Saccharomyces cerevisiae S288C: one gene and its partner. Changing the gene in region 1 together with any one later gene gives a genetic interaction. Each region holds a gene or a part of one and is shown on either strand. Other genes may lie near its edges. The genes, in order: HXT17 and YDC1.

Evidence for each region.
Region 2: mutations in HXT17 (region 1) and YDC1 together harm fitness more than expected from each alone (negative genetic interaction), as found in Saccharomyces cerevisiae (one large-scale study listed by BioGRID).

What each region holds. Positions count from the first base shown.
Region 1 is NC_001146.8:765,705-774,851, forward strand, and holds HXT17 (hexose transporter HXT17), read left to right. Parts: upstream 1-6,952; coding exon 6,953-8,647; downstream 8,648-9,147. Other genes in the region: ATP-binding cassette multidrug transporter PDR18, read left to right, coding at 1-3,672; YNR071C (aldose 1-epimerase superfamily protein), read right to left, coding at 4,736-5,764; MAN2 (putative mannitol dehydrogenase), read right to left, coding at 9,088-9,147. UniProt on the Saccharomyces cerevisiae protein: Probable glucose transporter.
Region 2 is NC_001148.4:376,327-384,908, forward strand, and holds YDC1 (alkaline dihydroceramidase), read left to right. Parts: upstream 1-7,128; coding exon 7,129-8,082; downstream 8,083-8,582. Other genes in the region: glutathione-disulfide reductase GLR1, read left to right, coding at 1-627; 40S ribosomal protein eS6 RPS6A, read right to left, coding at 965-1,669, 2,064-2,069; RLM1 (Rlm1p), read right to left, coding at 2,794-4,824; YPL088W (aldo-keto reductase superfamily protein), read left to right, coding at 5,639-6,667; Elongator subunit ELP3, read right to left, coding at 8,447-8,582.

The DNA of each region.
Region 1 (9,147 bases):
ATCTATAATGGTGAGCAAGATGTTCATTTCCCACATTTGACAGTAAAACAAACTCTAGATTTTGCTATTTCCTGTAAGATGCCCGCAAAAAGAGTCAATAATGTAACGAAAGAAGAGTATATTACTGCCAATAGAGAATTCTATGCTAAAATTTTTGGTTTGACGCATACTTTCGATACCAAAGTTGGTAACGATTTCATCAGCGGTGTATCTGGAGGTGAGCGTAAACGCGTTTCCATTGCTGAAGCATTAGCAGCGAAAGGTTCAATTTACTGCTGGGATAATGCTACAAGAGGTCTTGACTCTTCTACCGCGCTAGAATTTGCACGAGCTATTCGTACTATGACAAATCTGTTAGGTACAACGGCCCTTGTTACGGTTTACCAAGCCAGTGAAAACATTTATGAAACTTTTGATAAAGTCACTGTTCTATACGCTGGAAGACAAATATTTTGCGGCAAAACTACTGAAGCAAAAGATTATTTTGAAAACATGGGTTACTTGTGTCCACCGAGACAATCGACTGCTGAATATTTGACCGCAATTACTGATCCTAATGGTCTGCACGAAATAAAGCCTGGCTTTGAGTATCAAGTACCTCATACCGCTGATGAATTCGAAAAATACTGGCTTGATTCCCCAGAATATGCCCGCCTAAAAGGTGAAATTCAGAAGTACAAACATGAAGTGAATACTGAATGGACCAAAAAAACATACAATGAGTCTATGGCACAAGAAAAGTCGAAAGGTACAAGAAAAAAATCTTATTATACGGTCTCTTATTGGGAGCAAATTAGACTTTGCACTATTAGAGGTTTTCTAAGGATTTACGGTGATAAGTCATACACCGTTATCAACACATGCGCTGCTATAGCACAGGCTTTTATCACTGGGTCATTGTTCTACCAAGCACCTTCTTCAACTCTAGGGGCCTTTTCTAGAAGTGGCGTTCTGTTTTTTTCCCTCTTATATTATTCTTTGATGGGTTTAGCTAATATTAGTTTCGAGCACAGGCCAATATTGCAAAAACACAAGGTCTATTCACTATATCATCCCTCAGCTGAAGCGTTAGCAAGTACGATTTCTTCTTTTCCATTCAGAATGATTGGTCTAACATTTTTCATAATCATCCTGTACTTCTTAGCCGGTTTGCATAGAAGCGCCGGTGCTTTTTTTACTATGTATTTGTTATTGACAATGTGTTCAGAAGCTATTACAAGTTTGTTTCAGATGGTTTCATCTTTATGCGATACATTGTCCCAGGCCAACTCCATTGCCGGTGTTGTGATGTTATCTATTGCCATGTATTCGACGTACATGATACAATTACCTTCAATGCATCCATGGTTTAAGTGGATTTCGTACATTCTACCCATTAGATATGCATTTGAATCGATGTTAAATGCAGAATTTCATGGAAGACATATGGATTGTGGTGGCACTTTGGTTCCTTCTGGACCTGGGTTTGAAAACATCTTGCCAGAAAATCAAGTGTGTGCTTTTGTTGGTTCAAGGCCTGGCCAATCTTGGGTCCTAGGTGATGATTATTTGAGGGCCCAATATCAATATGAGTACAAAAATACTTGGAGAAACTTCGGCATCATGTGGTGTTTCTTAATTGGCTACATCGTCTTGAGGGCGGTTTTCACTGAGTACAAAAGTCCTGTCAAAAGTGGTGGTGATGCTCTGGTCGTCAAGAAGGGCACAAAGAATGCTATACAAAGATCATGGAGCAGCAAAAATGACGAAGAGAACCTTAATGCCTCTATAGCAACACAGGATATGAAAGAGATAGCTTCAAGTAACGACGATAGCACAAGTGCAGACTTTGAAGGTTTGGAATCTACCGGGGTGTTTATTTGGAAAAATGTTTCTTTCACAATTCCTCATTCTAGCGGACAACGTAAACTTCTGGACAGCGTAAGCGGTTACTGTGTTCCTGGTACTTTGACAGCATTAATAGGTGAGTCCGGCGCTGGTAAGACCACATTATTAAACACTTTGGCTCAAAGGAACGTGGGAACGATTACTGGTGATATGTTAGTTGATGGTCTCCCAATGGACGCTAGTTTCAAAAGGCGTACCGGTTATGTTCAACAGCAAGATCTTCATGTTGCTGAACTTACTGTCAAAGAATCGCTACAATTTAGTGCTCGTATGCGTCGGCCACAGTCTATTCCTGACGCTGAAAAGATGGAATATGTTGAAAAAATTATATCTATTCTTGAAATGCAGGAGTTCTCAGAAGCTCTTGTCGGCGAAATTGGTTACGGCTTGAATGTTGAACAGAGAAAGAAACTATCAATTGGCGTTGAGCTAGTTGGCAAGCCGGATCTGTTATTGTTTTTGGACGAACCGACCTCTGGCTTGGATTCCCAATCCGCGTGGGCCGTCGTCAAAATGTTAAAAAGATTAGCTCTAGCAGGTCAATCAATTTTATGTACTATTCATCAACCATCAGCTACTCTTTTTGAACAGTTTGACAGATTATTGCTTTTGGGAAAAGGCGGTCAAACAATTTATTTTGGTGAAATAGGTAAAAATTCAAGTTCTGTCATTAAGTATTTCGAAAAGAACGGAGCCAGGAAATGTCAACAAAATGAAAATCCGGCAGAGTATATTTTAGAAGCCATAGGAGCTGGGGCCACCGCTTCTGTTCAACAGAACTGGCCTGATATATGGCAAAAATCTCACGAGTATGCAAACATTAACGAAAAAATAAATGACATGATTAAGGACTTATCTTCTACAACTTTGCATAAAACAGCTACAAGGGCCTCTAAGTATGCAACATCGTATTCCTACCAATTCCATCATGTGCTGAAAAGATCCAGTTTAACATTTTGGAGAAACTTGAACTACATCATGGCCAAAATGATGTTATTGATGATCAGTGGCTTGTTCATTGGTTTTACCTTTTTCCATGTGGGTGTAAATGCTATTGGATTACAAAATAGCTTATTTGCCTGTTTCATGGCTATCGTTATATCAGCTCCTGCAACAAACCAAATACAGGAGCGTGCTACCGTTGCTAAGGAGCTATATGAAGTTCGTGAGTCCAAATCTAATATGTTTCATTGGTCTTTACTTTTGATTACCCATTATTTAAATGAATTGCCTTACCATTTATTGTTTTCAACAATTTTTTTCGTTTCATCATATTTCCCTCTGGGTGTCTTTACCGAAGCCTCTAGGTCAAGTGTTTTTTATCTGAACTATGCCATACTTTTTCAACTTTACTATATTGGTCTTGCTTTAATGATTCTGTACATGTCTCCAAATCTACAATCTGCCAATGTTATTGTAGGTTTTATACTTTCGTTTTTGCTCTCTTTCTGCGGTGCTGTCCAACCTGCCTCTTTAATGCCTGGTTTCTGGACATTCATGTGGAAACTATCCCCTTACACGTATTTTTTGCAAAATTTAGTTGGATTATTGATGCATGACAAACCCGTAAGATGTTCAAAGAAAGAGTTGTCTCTTTTCAACCCCCCGGTAGGCCAAACATGTGGTGAATTTACCAAACCGTTTTTTGAATTTGGGACTGGGTATATTGCAAATCCAGATGCAACAGCAGATTGCGCCTATTGTCAGTACAAAGTAGGTGATGAATACTTGGCGCGCATAAATGCTAGCTTTAGTTACTTATGGAGAAACTTCGGTTTCATTTAGGCTTATATCCTTTTCAACATTGCCGGTATGATTGTGGTTTATTACGTTGTTCAAGTTAAGCATTTTTCCCCTATGAAAATTGGCTTCGTAAAAAGAATAACAAGTAAATTTAAGAGAAAATGAAGAAAAAAATTGCAGGTATACTATGGGTGCAGGTGAGGCGGTTTTTTAACCGATTTAGCACACGATACTGTGAATTTTGGGTTATATGATGATGTGAATATTGCAGAAATGTAATGTTATATTATTCAAAGAAATAGGGTAACTTCTATTTATGCAAACATTGGTAATCAAGGCTATAAACACATAATCCCAAATAAGTATTTTGGTACACAGTTGATGTTTCTTTATGAATACGACTCATTAGTTCACTGTCAAATTGCCAACGTTCAGAGGGACCTACTTACAGAGCGTATGTTTTATATTTACGACGAACGCGATCTAATTATTATCCGCTGGTTAAACAGCGTAATAATGTTCATAGGGGCCTTGCATGACATTTGAATTTGAACATTACTAGAGTTCGTGAAATTTTGTCAATGAAAAAATAATGTGACAAACGTCTGCAAATAACCTGAAGAATTTTATCCGGGATAACGACAAAGCGTTAAATATAGAAACATAGTGAATGTACTGCTAGGAAAAAAATAGGCATAATTTAATCTTTATTCATATAAATGTTTTTACCAGAACTCTCTTGGTAGATAGTTTTGATATACGGTTTCCTGCTCAATTTTAGTGAGGCTGGGACGTAAAGTATTTTTTTCAAATAAACCATTTCTTGTTTCTACCTTTTTAGTACGGATTTTTTTTAGTAAGTTCTGTATTCTTTTTTAAGAGTAAAAAATATTCAGACCCCAAACTCACAAAAAGCCTACAGAGTCCGCCTGTTACGCTCAATTTAGTACTACCACTTGTGATAATATTTATTTTGGGACAGGTCCAAAAACTTTTAGGTTTAAACGTACAAACGTTGAGTTTAATCTAGATCATATATCATTATAAAGGTTTTATCTACAAGCAAGTGAAGAAACGTAACAAACGTAAAAAGCTTCAGCCTCACCTAAATATCGAATTTGTACTGAGTCTTTGAAGTGTATACCTCGCCGCGCTTCAGAAGAACACAACCTCTCCACTCATCACGGTTGATAGCATCAACGTATCTACCTTGCTGAACGGCAAATCCAGACCTTGGCACAAATTTGCCACATAAATTATCACCGGTGTACAAATGAACGGTTGGTTCTGTCGTCGAAACCTCAAATTTGATGTGAGATTCGGGATGATAGGCCTTAAAAACAGGAACCAATTTGTTGACACTCACAGAATCTGTAGTCTTCAAATCCTTGTTAGCGTCAATAATGAAAGTGCAATCAAAGACCGGAGTATCTTCATGCAAAACGGTGGGCTTAGTTGAATCAAAAGTAGCAATGTTCCTTTCAATGATCTTACCAGTTGGAAGCAATGCCCCCTCTGTAACTTCAAGCGATTTGTTCGAGCAGACCTTAACTTCTGTACCACGAATGGACTTCTCACTCTTGACTTTGTTCAAGTTAAAATACGAGTGGTTGGTCATATTAATTGGAGTAGCATCACCACGAACTAACTGTGCTTGGTATTCCATGTCTAAAGTCATTTCTGCAACATTCAAAGTGTACTTCACTGTGACTTCCAAGTCACCTGGAAACTCGTTAGGGTTGGGCTGTGTGTGATCATCCAACAATTTAAATTCAACAACGTAAACGCCCTTGGAAGGATTCTCAACAGGGGACGCCTTGTACTGCTTAAGATTTAAGGAACTGATACTGCTGTGATTTGTGTTACCACAATTGTTAACAGTTAACTTGTGAGGACCATCATCCAGGCTGAAAACACCCTTGGCGATACGGTTGGCATAACGACCAACTGTAGCGCCCATCATGTTACCATCTGTTAAATAGTCTTGTACGTTTGAATAACCTTGAACGACTGATTGGCCGTTTACCTTCAGGTCTACCAAAGTTGCACCAAGTGGCGCAATGGTAGCTTGGAACTTTTTCTCATCACCAATTGTAATGACACCATACTTATTATCACCGTTACTATTTGACATTTCGCTGTTTGTTATCTGTTTTGATTTTTTTTTTCACTGCTTATCATACAAACTGATCAATTGAGCTATCAAACTTCAACTTATCTCTGTATTTATATGCTGAAAGTATAGAGTGTACATAAAAATGTATCACATGTCTATTACATATTACGACACCCCCACAATATTTTAACTGATCTTAATAACACGGGGTAGGAAGTTTATTTCATCATACCACTCAATGAGCTAAGCTGCCAAAGGCTCCTGTTCACTTCCTTGTGGTTCGTAGGCTATTCAGTGGCAACGTAATAAACAAGAAAAGAAAAAATTTCAACACCTTTATTCTAAATGTTGTCAGAAGTAATTATAGTGGGGGTATTGCAGATGTAAATGAAATACGACGTACTGTGGGGGGCTTTTCTTTTTCAAGAATCCTAAACTATTCCAATGGGATTGCGTGATTATGTTTCGTTAGAGTTTTTTTCTATATCTCCGTTCTTATTTCTTAAGTCCGCCCCTTGCTGTAACCAGCCCGGCTATTATTTGACGAATTTTTCACATCTTCATTCCTTGCCGAGAAAGAAGCTTTTGCCTCCCTGGGGTTATTATAAAATATATCTGACGTCACTGGTTTGCAGCCAAAAAGTTTAATTATTTTAACTTCAAGGGTTCGTTTCGGAGTAAATAGTCAATGCACAAAATAGGAAGGTGGAGGTGGGGTATGCATTTTTGTGCATAGAGTGGCGGGGTATTAAGAATAATGCACATATAGGCACATAGGCACAAATGCGTGGGATGACTTGACTGTGCAAAGACCGTTAGCAACCTAGAATGTGGAATAGTATCCCAAATGATGACGTAAACGTTCGAGGATAATATTAGATAATATAATATTAGTATCCTCGTCTAAAAACAGGCAAAATAGCACGGAATCTATTCAAAAGAAGGCGGCAAGCAGTATCAATTGAGATAAGTGTATACGAACGGTGAAACCTCCTTGGCACAGAATTTTATCGTTCAAGTGGTAGGATAGCATTGCTGCCATAACACCCTCCTTAATCACAGGATAATATGGTGAACGAGATATATAAAGCGATAAGTTTAGGTGTGATATTTTTCTTTCGTTGTGCAAGTGTTGTGTAAATTCTTTCTCATTTGATAAATCAAAAAAAAAAAAAAAAAAAAGAAAAGAAAAGAAAAATTAATAAAATGCAATCATCCACTGAAAGTGATAGAGATATTCAGGATGGTCCTGATGCTGATATTCACGTCGCACCACCCGTGGAAAAAGAGTGGTCAGATGGATTTGATGACAACGAAGTCATAAACGGGGATAACGTTGAGCCACCAAAAAGAGGGCTCATAGGTTATCTTGTCATTTACTTATTGTGTTATCCAATATCCTTCGGGGGTTTCCTGCCTGGTTGGGATAGTGGTATCACAGCAGGTTTCATTAACATGGACAACTTTAAAATGAACTTCGGTTCTTACAAGCATAGCACTGGTGAATATTATTTGAGCAACGTGCGTATGGGTCTTCTTGTGGCTATGTTCAGTATTGGATGTGCCATAGGTGGTCTTATTTTTGCCCGTCTTGCTGATACTTTAGGTAGAAGGCTGGCAATTGTAATCGTGGTGTTGGTATATATGGTTGGTGCAATTATTCAGATCAGTTCGAATCACAAATGGTACCAATACTTCGTTGGTAAGATTATCTATGGTCTTGGTGCTGGTGGCTGTTCGGTGTTGTGTCCAATGCTTTTGTCTGAAATAGCTCCTACAGATTTGAGAGGTGGACTTGTCTCATTGTACCAACTTAACATGACCTTCGGTATTTTCTTGGGTTATTGTAGCGTTTATGGTACGAGAAAATACGATAACACTGCACAATGGAGAGTCCCACTTGGGCTTTGCTTTTTATGGACTTTGATTATCATCATTGGTATGTTATTGGTTCCAGAGTCCCCAAGATATCTTATTGAATGTGAGAGACACGAAGAGGCCCGTGCTTCCATTGCCAAAATCAACAAGGTTTCACCAGAGGATCCATGGGTACTCAAACAGGCTGATGAAATCAACGCCGGTGTCCTTGCCCAAAGAGAACTAGGAGAAGCTTCATGGAAAGAACTTTTCTCCGTCAAAACTAAAGTCCTTCAACGTTTGATCACAGGTATTCTTGTGCAAACCTTTTTGCAACTTACTGGTGAAAACTACTTTTTCTTCTACGGAACTACCATTTTCAAATCAGTCGGTCTTACTGATGGGTTTGAGACGTCGATCGTTCTAGGTACAGTGAACTTCTTTTCCACTATTATTGCTGTTATGGTCGTAGACAAAATTGGCCGTCGTAAATGTCTTTTATTTGGTGCAGCTGGGATGATGGCTTGTATGGTCATATTTGCAAGTATCGGGGTGAAATGTCTTTACCCTCATGGCCAGGATGGTCCATCCTCAAAAGGTGCAGGTAATGCCATGATTGTGTTCACTTGCTTCTATATATTTTGCTTTGCAACGACATGGGCTCCTGTTGCTTATATTGTGGTTGCCGAGTCGTTCCCTTCGAAGGTCAAATCTAGGGCCATGTCGATTTCGACTGCATGCAACTGGTTGTGGCAATTTTTGATCGGGTTTTTCACACCATTCATTACTGGGTCTATCCACTTCTATTATGGTTATGTGTTCGTAGGTTGTTTGGTTGCAATGTTTCTGTACGTTTTCTTCTTTTTACCAGAAACGATTGGTCTATCTTTGGAGGAAATCCAATTACTATATGAAGAAGGTATAAAACCATGGAAATCTGCATCTTGGGTCCCACCTTCTAGGAGAGGTATTCCTTCCGAAGAAAGTAAGACCGAGAAGAAGGATTGGAAGAAATTTTTGAAGTTCTCAAAGGGTTCTGATTGATCATAGAGTGCATATGCTTGTCTTGATAGGCAACATTGTATATTATATTTTACATAATAATGTGTAATTCTAATTTGTCACGAATTTATGAAGATTCTTGGAGCTATGAAGATCAACATATGTAGAAACTGGTATGTGTCATAGGTAAAAAGTATTCATTAAGACAAAATTGTGTCTAATTCTTAGTCATTTATTCAATTTTTTTTTTTTTTTTTTACGTAAAGCGGGGTGGAGTGACATGATATGGTGATGGTGATGAGAAACTCTAAATGGATCCATTTGACTATCGATTGAAAATCATGAAAGATGCGCTTGAAGGAACATAACACGTTACTATTTGTCTAAATAAAACAATATACAAAAATACGACATTATATATACTCTACCCAAGATATTTAGTCATTACTATCGAGGGCGCGTAGATCAGATCACCTTTAAAATCACACTTGGTCTAAAATTTCCTTAATAGCGGCAATTGGCCCTTTATCATAAACTGTTTC
Region 2 (8,582 bases), on another chromosome or scaffold:
CATATGAATGACTCAAAGTCCATCGATGACGTTGACGAATTAATTTGGACAATTGGACGTAAATCCCATCTAGGTATGGGTTCAGAAAATGTAGGTATAAAGCTGAACTCTCATGACCAAATAATTGCTGATGAATATCAGAACACCAATGTTCCAAACATTTATTCTCTAGGTGACGTTGTTGGAAAAGTTGAATTGACACCTGTCGCTATTGCAGCGGGCAGAAAGCTGTCTAATAGACTGTTTGGTCCAGAGAAATTCCGTAATGACAAACTAGATTACGAGAACGTCCCCAGCGTAATTTTCTCACATCCTGAAGCCGGTTCCATTGGTATTTCTGAGAAGGAAGCCATTGAAAAGTACGGTAAGGAGAATATAAAGGTCTACAATTCCAAATTTACCGCCATGTACTATGCTATGTTGAGTGAGAAATCACCCACAAGATATAAAATTGTTTGTGCGGGACCAAATGAAAAGGTTGTCGGTCTGCACATTGTTGGTGATTCCTCTGCAGAAATCTTGCAAGGGTTCGGTGTTGCTATAAAGATGGGTGCCACTAAGGCTGATTTCGATAATTGTGTTGCTATTCATCCGACTAGCGCAGAAGAATTGGTTACTATGAGATGAAGCAACGAAACTAGACGTCCAATCTGCTGTTGCTATACTGGACTTTTGTACTCTTGTAAACAATCTTATATAGCATCCTGAAATACGTAGTAATTTTGTCATTTCTGTTCAAGGACAAGGGTTCCTTTTTTTTTCAGACTATTAGCTACTGTGGACTCGCTTGGATATTCAGTTGAGGATACATTCCGACTCTCGTTTACAATACATATGATTATTTTTCTTTTTGTTAATTATATAAAAAATAAAGTTATTTGATTTTAAGCTTAAAAATACACAAAATACAGAATAAGAAAGGAGTTTTTGAACAAAAGAATTTATCTTTTACTGCTTTCTAACTTTAAGCCTTCAAAGAAGAAGCTCTTCTCTTTCTGATTTCAGCCTTCTCAGCCTTTCTTTCAGACAATCTCTTAGCCAACAATTGAGCGTATTCGGCAGCAGCTTCTCTTTGAGCTTGAGCGTTTCTGACCTTCAAAGCTCTTTGGTGTCTCTTTCTTTGCAATCTTTGAGGAGTAACCAATCTTTGGATCTTTGGAGCCTTGGTGTAAGTCTTTTCACCCTTGGTGACTTCTCTTCTGATGACGAAATCACGAACGTCATCTTCCTTGGACAAACCGAAGAACTTTCTGATGTTGTTAGCTCTCTTTGGACCCAATCTCTTTGGAACAGTAGTGTCAGTTAGACCTTCCAATTCTTGCTCACCCTTCTTGACAATGACCAAAGCCAAGACAGCCAAATCTGGACCAACAATGGCACCTCTGACGGACTTTCTCTTTCTTTCACCATCACGTCTTGGTCTGTAACAAGAAACGTTCTTGGTCAACAACAACTTGATTCTAGTTGGCAACAAAACACCTTGCTTCATTGGGAAACCTTGTTTGTCGTTACCACCAGAGATCTTGAAGACGTAACCCTTGAATTCGTCACCAACGGCTTCACCATCGACTTCTTGACCGATTCTCTTGTCGAAGAAAACACGAATACGGTGTTCATCATCAATTTCGAAGGTCTTTTGAGACCCGTTAACTGGGTAAGAAATGTTCAACTATTTTAAATTTTCAACAGGTTATTAAGAAAATTTGTTAGTATACTATTGCAAAATTAATGTTTGAATAGGGTGAAGTTTATTACTCTAGAGAAATTATTAAGTGGAAGATGAAAAAGCTTGTCTTTTATTGACTATACTCCAAGTATATGAACTGCTTCAATTTCACGGTTTGTAGTAACAGTATATGTAAACCCGCTCTGTTTGTTTAAAAATAACGCCACAAACGCATCAATTAGTATATGGTAGTCTTCCTGCTTCTTTCCATAAAAAATTTCTAAAATCTTTACGACGTCTGGTTCTGTTTAGTTCTTTCTCACTTTCAAACTTTCATGCCATTTTTCCACATATAAAGTTCTCTGTTGCCCCTCAATAATAGTATCATAAATCATACCTTCATGATGTATAGTCTGTCTTCACTCTTTTGTCACTTCTCTTAAGCAAATATAAAAATTCAATGACGAATAAGCATTAACCACTTTATCCTTGGTAACACTGTATATGAAATTTCAAAGAAACTGCAGCATCATGATGTTCCTAGACGTCGGTACTGGAATTCCCACCCAGTAGACTTACCTAGGTAGCGGCATTCCTCCAACGCTTACCAGGAGAGATAACTTTCCCGCTAGAATCGATAGAGGAGCGTGGAATTACGCCAATCTTCCAAGTGGGAACGGGCAGAGTGTCCAGTGGCTTCCTGCCTACAGAATGCACGGCCCCAGTGGGATTGGTGCAATCGCGCACGTTCCAACTTTCCGATGCTCCGGCGCGTCGATGACAATTTTACACATGAAAAACGAACTATGTAAAAATAGTTGAAATGTATGGGTTCAATGAGAACTCGAATGTACGGATGTTTTCTCTGAATGAACCTCTTGTCTTCTTCCGGCTTCTGCTTACATCAAACTCCAGGCCAGGCGGCAATTCATTTTAGTTGCTAATGCACAAAAGAGTACTTAAATACTATCATTATTCAGAAAATGCAATTGAGTTTTTCGTTTTTCTTCCTTGTTTGGGTTATTCACTACGTAAATATGTGCATTTACAATAATATAAATATAAATTTTTTAAATGAAAAGAAGTTTCTTATGCTTGGAATATTCATACTGGTCAAATTTTTTGGTTTATATTTTGCTTGAATTTTTTTCTCCTGAAATATCAGTCGAAAAATTAAAGAATTTAGTGCCTAGTGGTGTTTGAGCAGTATTTATGTATGGAGTCAGCCCGGTATTTCCATTATATGCGGTGGCAGCAGCATCATATGTACTTGAGTTGGACTGATTGTTCGAGTCACCATCGGTAGTATGTTCTGAAATAGCAGCTCCATTTACGGGTGCATCTTCATTATTACTATAGTAACTGTTATTGCTATTGTTACTGTTATTGTCGTTGCCGTTGTTGCTGTTGTTGTTGCTGCTGTTGTTGTTGTTATTGTTGTTGTTGTTGTTAGTGTTGTTAGTGCTGCTGATATTGCTGGAGTTGCCGTTGTTTACGGCCGTCTGTACGGGAGGGAAAGTACCAGGATTGTTTGTGTTTCCCGGCTTGGCACTGTTGGGTCCCATTGACCAGTCTGGAAACATCGATATAGAAGAAACATTTGGAGAATTACTCATCAAATCATGTACGAACTTCGATGGCAGTGAACCAGTTGGAGGGCCATTGCTGGTTTCAGGGCCGGAAAAAGTTGAAGGGGGGCGTCCGGTTAATGTTGTAGTTAATGGTACTGTTTGGCTCTGTTTTTTGAAAGACATTTGTTGGTATTGCTGGGTTTGTCTTTGAGCTAAAAAAGATGTATTTTGTTGGAAAGGTCCGCCAGGAATATTCGATGGTTGCAAGGGAGTGGCAATGTATGGCTGTGTTGCAGAAAAAAGAGGTGAAGACCCACTTCCGAAAGGATAAGGGTGATTGTTATTGTTACTGCCATTACCATTGTTAGAACCGTTAGGCGCATTTGCATTTGGCAATTTTATTACCATTCTGCCATTATTACCTTTTTGGAGAGTTAAGGGGCCTGAGGCAGATGCGGATAGTGGAGAAATTTTGCTAGACCTACTTGTTTTGTTTTCTTTCATTATCTGCGAAGAGCCCATACTATTGCCGTTGGCCGATGTGGAGGAGGCAGAGGAGGGTTCACTTGGAATAGCGGAATTACTGCTGAAATTGTTGTTCGGAATTCTCACACGAAGTACCGGTCTGGCGGACAATTTCCTTCTTGCTTTGACAGTCTGCTGAATAGAGTCTTCCAAAGAATTAGATGGTGACTGAGTGTAGTTGCTGTTGTCATTATTATTGCTGCCACTATTGTTAATTTTGTGCTCCTGTTTAGGGGTCCTTGAGGATGCATTTGTAAATGGCTTACTGAACTTGTTCGGTGAAATGGAAATGGGTGGAGGACGACCATTAAAGGAAGAGTTTTGAAAGCTTGGTAATTTTGGAAAATCCATCGTGGAAGGAGAAGATGAACTGGATGAAGGCTGGTTAAGATTGTACATGCTACTATGGTATGGTCTCGATATATTTTGCTGCTGTTGCTGTTGCGGAGTTCTACTTATTTGCAAAGGATCCGGTTTCAATCTTTTCAAATGTTGTAAAGGCGGCAGCGCGTTCTCAGGATGACGTTTATTTTGCTCACTACCATCCATCTTTGAAATGAGTGCGGTCGGGGATAACAACTTCATGTGTGCACTCGGTATATTTTTATCAGAGGCTTTTTTATTCGAATGCATATTTGAATTCCTCTCAAAATTGCCATGATCATCGTCGTCCTCATCATTGTTCTCATCATCATCATTTTCTGACTGGTTCATTCCTTTAACATTTGATTTCGAAGGCTTATTTGACATAGACGACCTGAGTAGGTCTTGATTTATGTTAACGGATGCACTTTTGTGAAAGTCTCCATAATCGGAAGGATCTTTCACTTCGTGAAGCAAGTTTTTGTCATTTTGGTAGTGATAGATTAAATCATTCGTATCCACAGAGGAAAACTCATAGAACGTGTTATTGGACCCCAGTATAATGACGGCTATGTCTACTTGACAAAGAACGGATAGTTCATGGGCCTTCTTAAAAAGGCCAGCTTTACGTTTTATAAACGTGACAGCCCTATTTCTGTCATCAGAAATTCTCTGGATTTCAATCTTCCGTCTACCCATGTTGTATCTATAGTATAGTTTTGCGACACTTTAATATTTAAGTTTTTTTCACGCTTCAGCCTGTTTGCTCCGGGGGATATTAACCTCACAACGTGATAGAAACCTTGAAAAAAAAAAAGAATAATTCTGCTTGCCAGCTTTCAATTACTTTAACGAGTCAAAAGTTGAGTTGGCTATCAGGAGTAGGCAGTTCTAATTGAATCAGTCGTTGAACACTTTAGAACAGGCTCGCTTCTTTCTTACGTTTCTTTTTGTCTGTCCTTTAATTATTATTGTTCAGAGGAAGATCGAGCTGTTTCTATTATTAGCTTTCATCTCTTCCGTTTTATTTTTATCAGAAATCTGAAGTAAATTTTTTTCTTTCTTTCTGCGGCTTGGCATTCATCACCCGGTGATGCTGCGCCGTTAAGAGAGCCCAATAATGATAAGACGATTTCTGCATTTAATATACGACTGAGACAGACTTCGTCACCGTGGAAGTATTTTTTGCGAACGTGGAAGTATTTCACCCACGTATGGCAGGCAAGAACGCATTTTCAATAACGTTATTTCCACGGAAAAATGTGATTAGTGTAGTAGGTTAGGAACGGGAGATAACTCGGCCGCTTGGTTTGAATTTGTTTCCCTTCGATTTTGTTTTCATTGCTTGAGTAAAAGAAGCTAAGCTAACATCTGCCTTATTCTTCTCAGCCTTTTCGTATATATATATATATATATATATATATTAGGACCCAGAGAACAAGGTATCATATATTAATTGTCTTGCCAACTATGTAATTTGGCTGTTACGGAAGACCCACATCAGGCGGCAGAAATGGTTTTAGTTAAGCAGGTAAGACTCGGTAACTCAGGTCTTAAGATATCACCGATAGTGATAGGATGTATGTCATACGGGTCCAAGAAATGGGCGGACTGGGTCATAGAGGACAAGACCCAAATTTTCAAGATTATGAAGCATTGTTACGATAAAGGTCTTCGTACTTTTGACACAGCAGATTTTTATTCTAATGGTTTGAGTGAAAGAATAATTAAGGAGTTTCTGGAGTACTACAGTATAAAGAGAGAAACGGTGGTGATTATGACCAAAATTTACTTCCCAGTTGATGAAACGCTTGATTTGCATCATAACTTCACTTTAAATGAATTTGAAGAATTGGACTTGTCCAACCAGCGGGGTTTATCCAGAAAGCATATAATTGCTGGTGTCGAGAACTCTGTGAAAAGACTGGGCACATATATAGACCTTTTACAAATTCACAGATTAGATCATGAAACGCCAATGAAAGAGATCATGAAGGCATTGAATGATGTTGTTGAAGCGGGCCACGTTAGATACATTGGGGCTTCGAGTATGTTGGCAACTGAATTTGCAGAACTGCAGTTCACAGCCGATAAATATGGCTGGTTTCAGTTCATTTCTTCGCAGTCTTACTACAATTTGCTCTATCGTGAAGATGAACGCGAATTGATTCCTTTTGCCAAAAGACACAATATTGGTTTACTTCCATGGTCTCCTAACGCACGAGGCATGTTGACTCGTCCTCTGAACCAAAGCACGGACAGGATTAAGAGTGATCCAACTTTCAAGTCGTTACATTTGGATAATCTCGAAGAAGAACAAAAGGAAATTATAAATCGTGTGGAAAAGGTGTCGAAGGACAAAAAAGTCTCGATGGCTATGCTCTCCATTGCATGGGTTTTGCATAAAGGATGTCACCCTATTGTGGGATTGAACACTACAGCAAGAGTAGACGAAGCGATTGCCGCACTACAAGTAACTCTAACAGAAGAAGAGATAAAGTACCTCGAGGAGCCCTACAAACCCCAGAGGCAAAGATGTTAAGTTAGATTTTCATGGGCCCACTGATATATAGAAGGCTAAATAACGAGAATCATATATACTGTAACATGACACCTGCTGATTTTTACTGATCGTAGCCATTCGGCTCATATTACTTCATGTCCCTTTTTTAAATCCCTCGTTCCCGGAGAGTGGCATAGCATGTCCGATAGCGTACGCCAACCTACAGAATCAGGGGATCAGATTTCCTGAAAGCAACTTATCCATCAGTTTCTTTTTATAATGCCATAATGACAGGTGTGCCTTTCTTATTTTACTTCGCTTGCTTTCTTTCTATTGCATGCTTCAATCTTTGAATATTTGCTAATAGTGAAAAAAAAAAAGGAAATAACTATCTGGTTTATCTGCATTGTTCTTCGTTTTTCAATTCAAGAATTTAAGCAAAAGGATATATCATAGAACCTAGTGAATTTTTAAGAAAGTAAGATAAAGAAAAAAATCAAATGCTGTTCAGCTGGCCTTATCCAGAAGCCCCGATTGAAGGTTATTGGGGCAAGCCAACTTCTCTGATTGATTGGTGCGAGGAGAATTATGTCGTATCCCCCTATATTGCAGAATGGTCAAATACTATTACCAATAGTATATTCTTAATGACCGCCTTCTATTCTACATATAGCGCTTGGCGTAATAAGTTAGAAACAAGGTATATATTGATAGGAATGGGGTTCTCGCTGGTTGGTATTGGTTCGTGGTTATTTCATATGACTTTACAGTATCGTTATCAATTGCTAGACGAACTACCAATGCTGTATGCGACCATCATCCCATCGTGGAGTATTTTTGCAGAAACTCAAGAAATCTTGATTAAGGATGAGAAGAAAAGGAAGGAAAGCTCATTTAGAATCCAAATGGTCATTTCTTTTATCATGTGTGGTATAGTCACCATTTTAACCTGGATTTACGTTGTCGTCCAAAAGCCAGCAATTTTCCAAGTCCTTTATGGTATATTGACGCTTCTAGTTGTGGTTCTTTCTGGCTGGCTGACCTACTATCACGTTCATGATTCATTTGCAAAGAAAAATCTTTTTATTACTATGGTTATGGGCATGATTCCTTTTGTCATTGGGTTCATTTGCTGGCAACTAGATATTCACCTGTGTTCTTTTTGGATCTATATCCGGAGAACATATTTGGCCCTGCCATTAGGTGTTCTATTGGAACTGCATGCTTGGTGGCATCTTTTGACCGGTACTGGTGTCTATATCTTCGTCGTGTATTTGCAATATTTGAGAATATTAACCCATGGAAATCCAAATGACTTCTTATTTATATGGAGGTGGGGATTTTTCCCTGAGCTGGTAAGAAAGGGCTTACCGATTGGTACTTCTTATTCACTGGAGTATCTGGGGCCAATTGTAAATACACAGGTAGATGATGAAACAAAAAAGAATAACTAAGGAGTGATTTTGTGCCATCCATTTGAATCTTCAAAATATATGTACGTATATGTTATGTATGTATATAAATTGTTGTACGTGCAATTGACCGAACGTGTATATTTGTATATAGATATGTGACAAACTAAAGAGCTTACACTTCGTTCCTTCCCTTCTGTTCACCTTTTTTTATTATGCCTGACTATTCTAAAATTTATGTTTATGTGGCGTAAAATATCTTTCTTCTGAAAACACATGCAGCAGTTACTCCCATCATAAAAGGAATTAATAAATGAATAGTATAAACAATTATTTACTTAAATATATTTAAATTTCTGCTTGGAAAACCGGCCATGTCGGCGGCACATAAAAGTTCTATTTACCTTTAAATTCTTTTCGACATGTATGGACCGTCTAGTTCATATCCTAGTTTACCATAGTAATTTCTTACACCAACACCAGAAATAACAGAAATTTTCTCTGAACCATGCTCTTCCTTGGCGATTCTTTCCGCTTCTTCC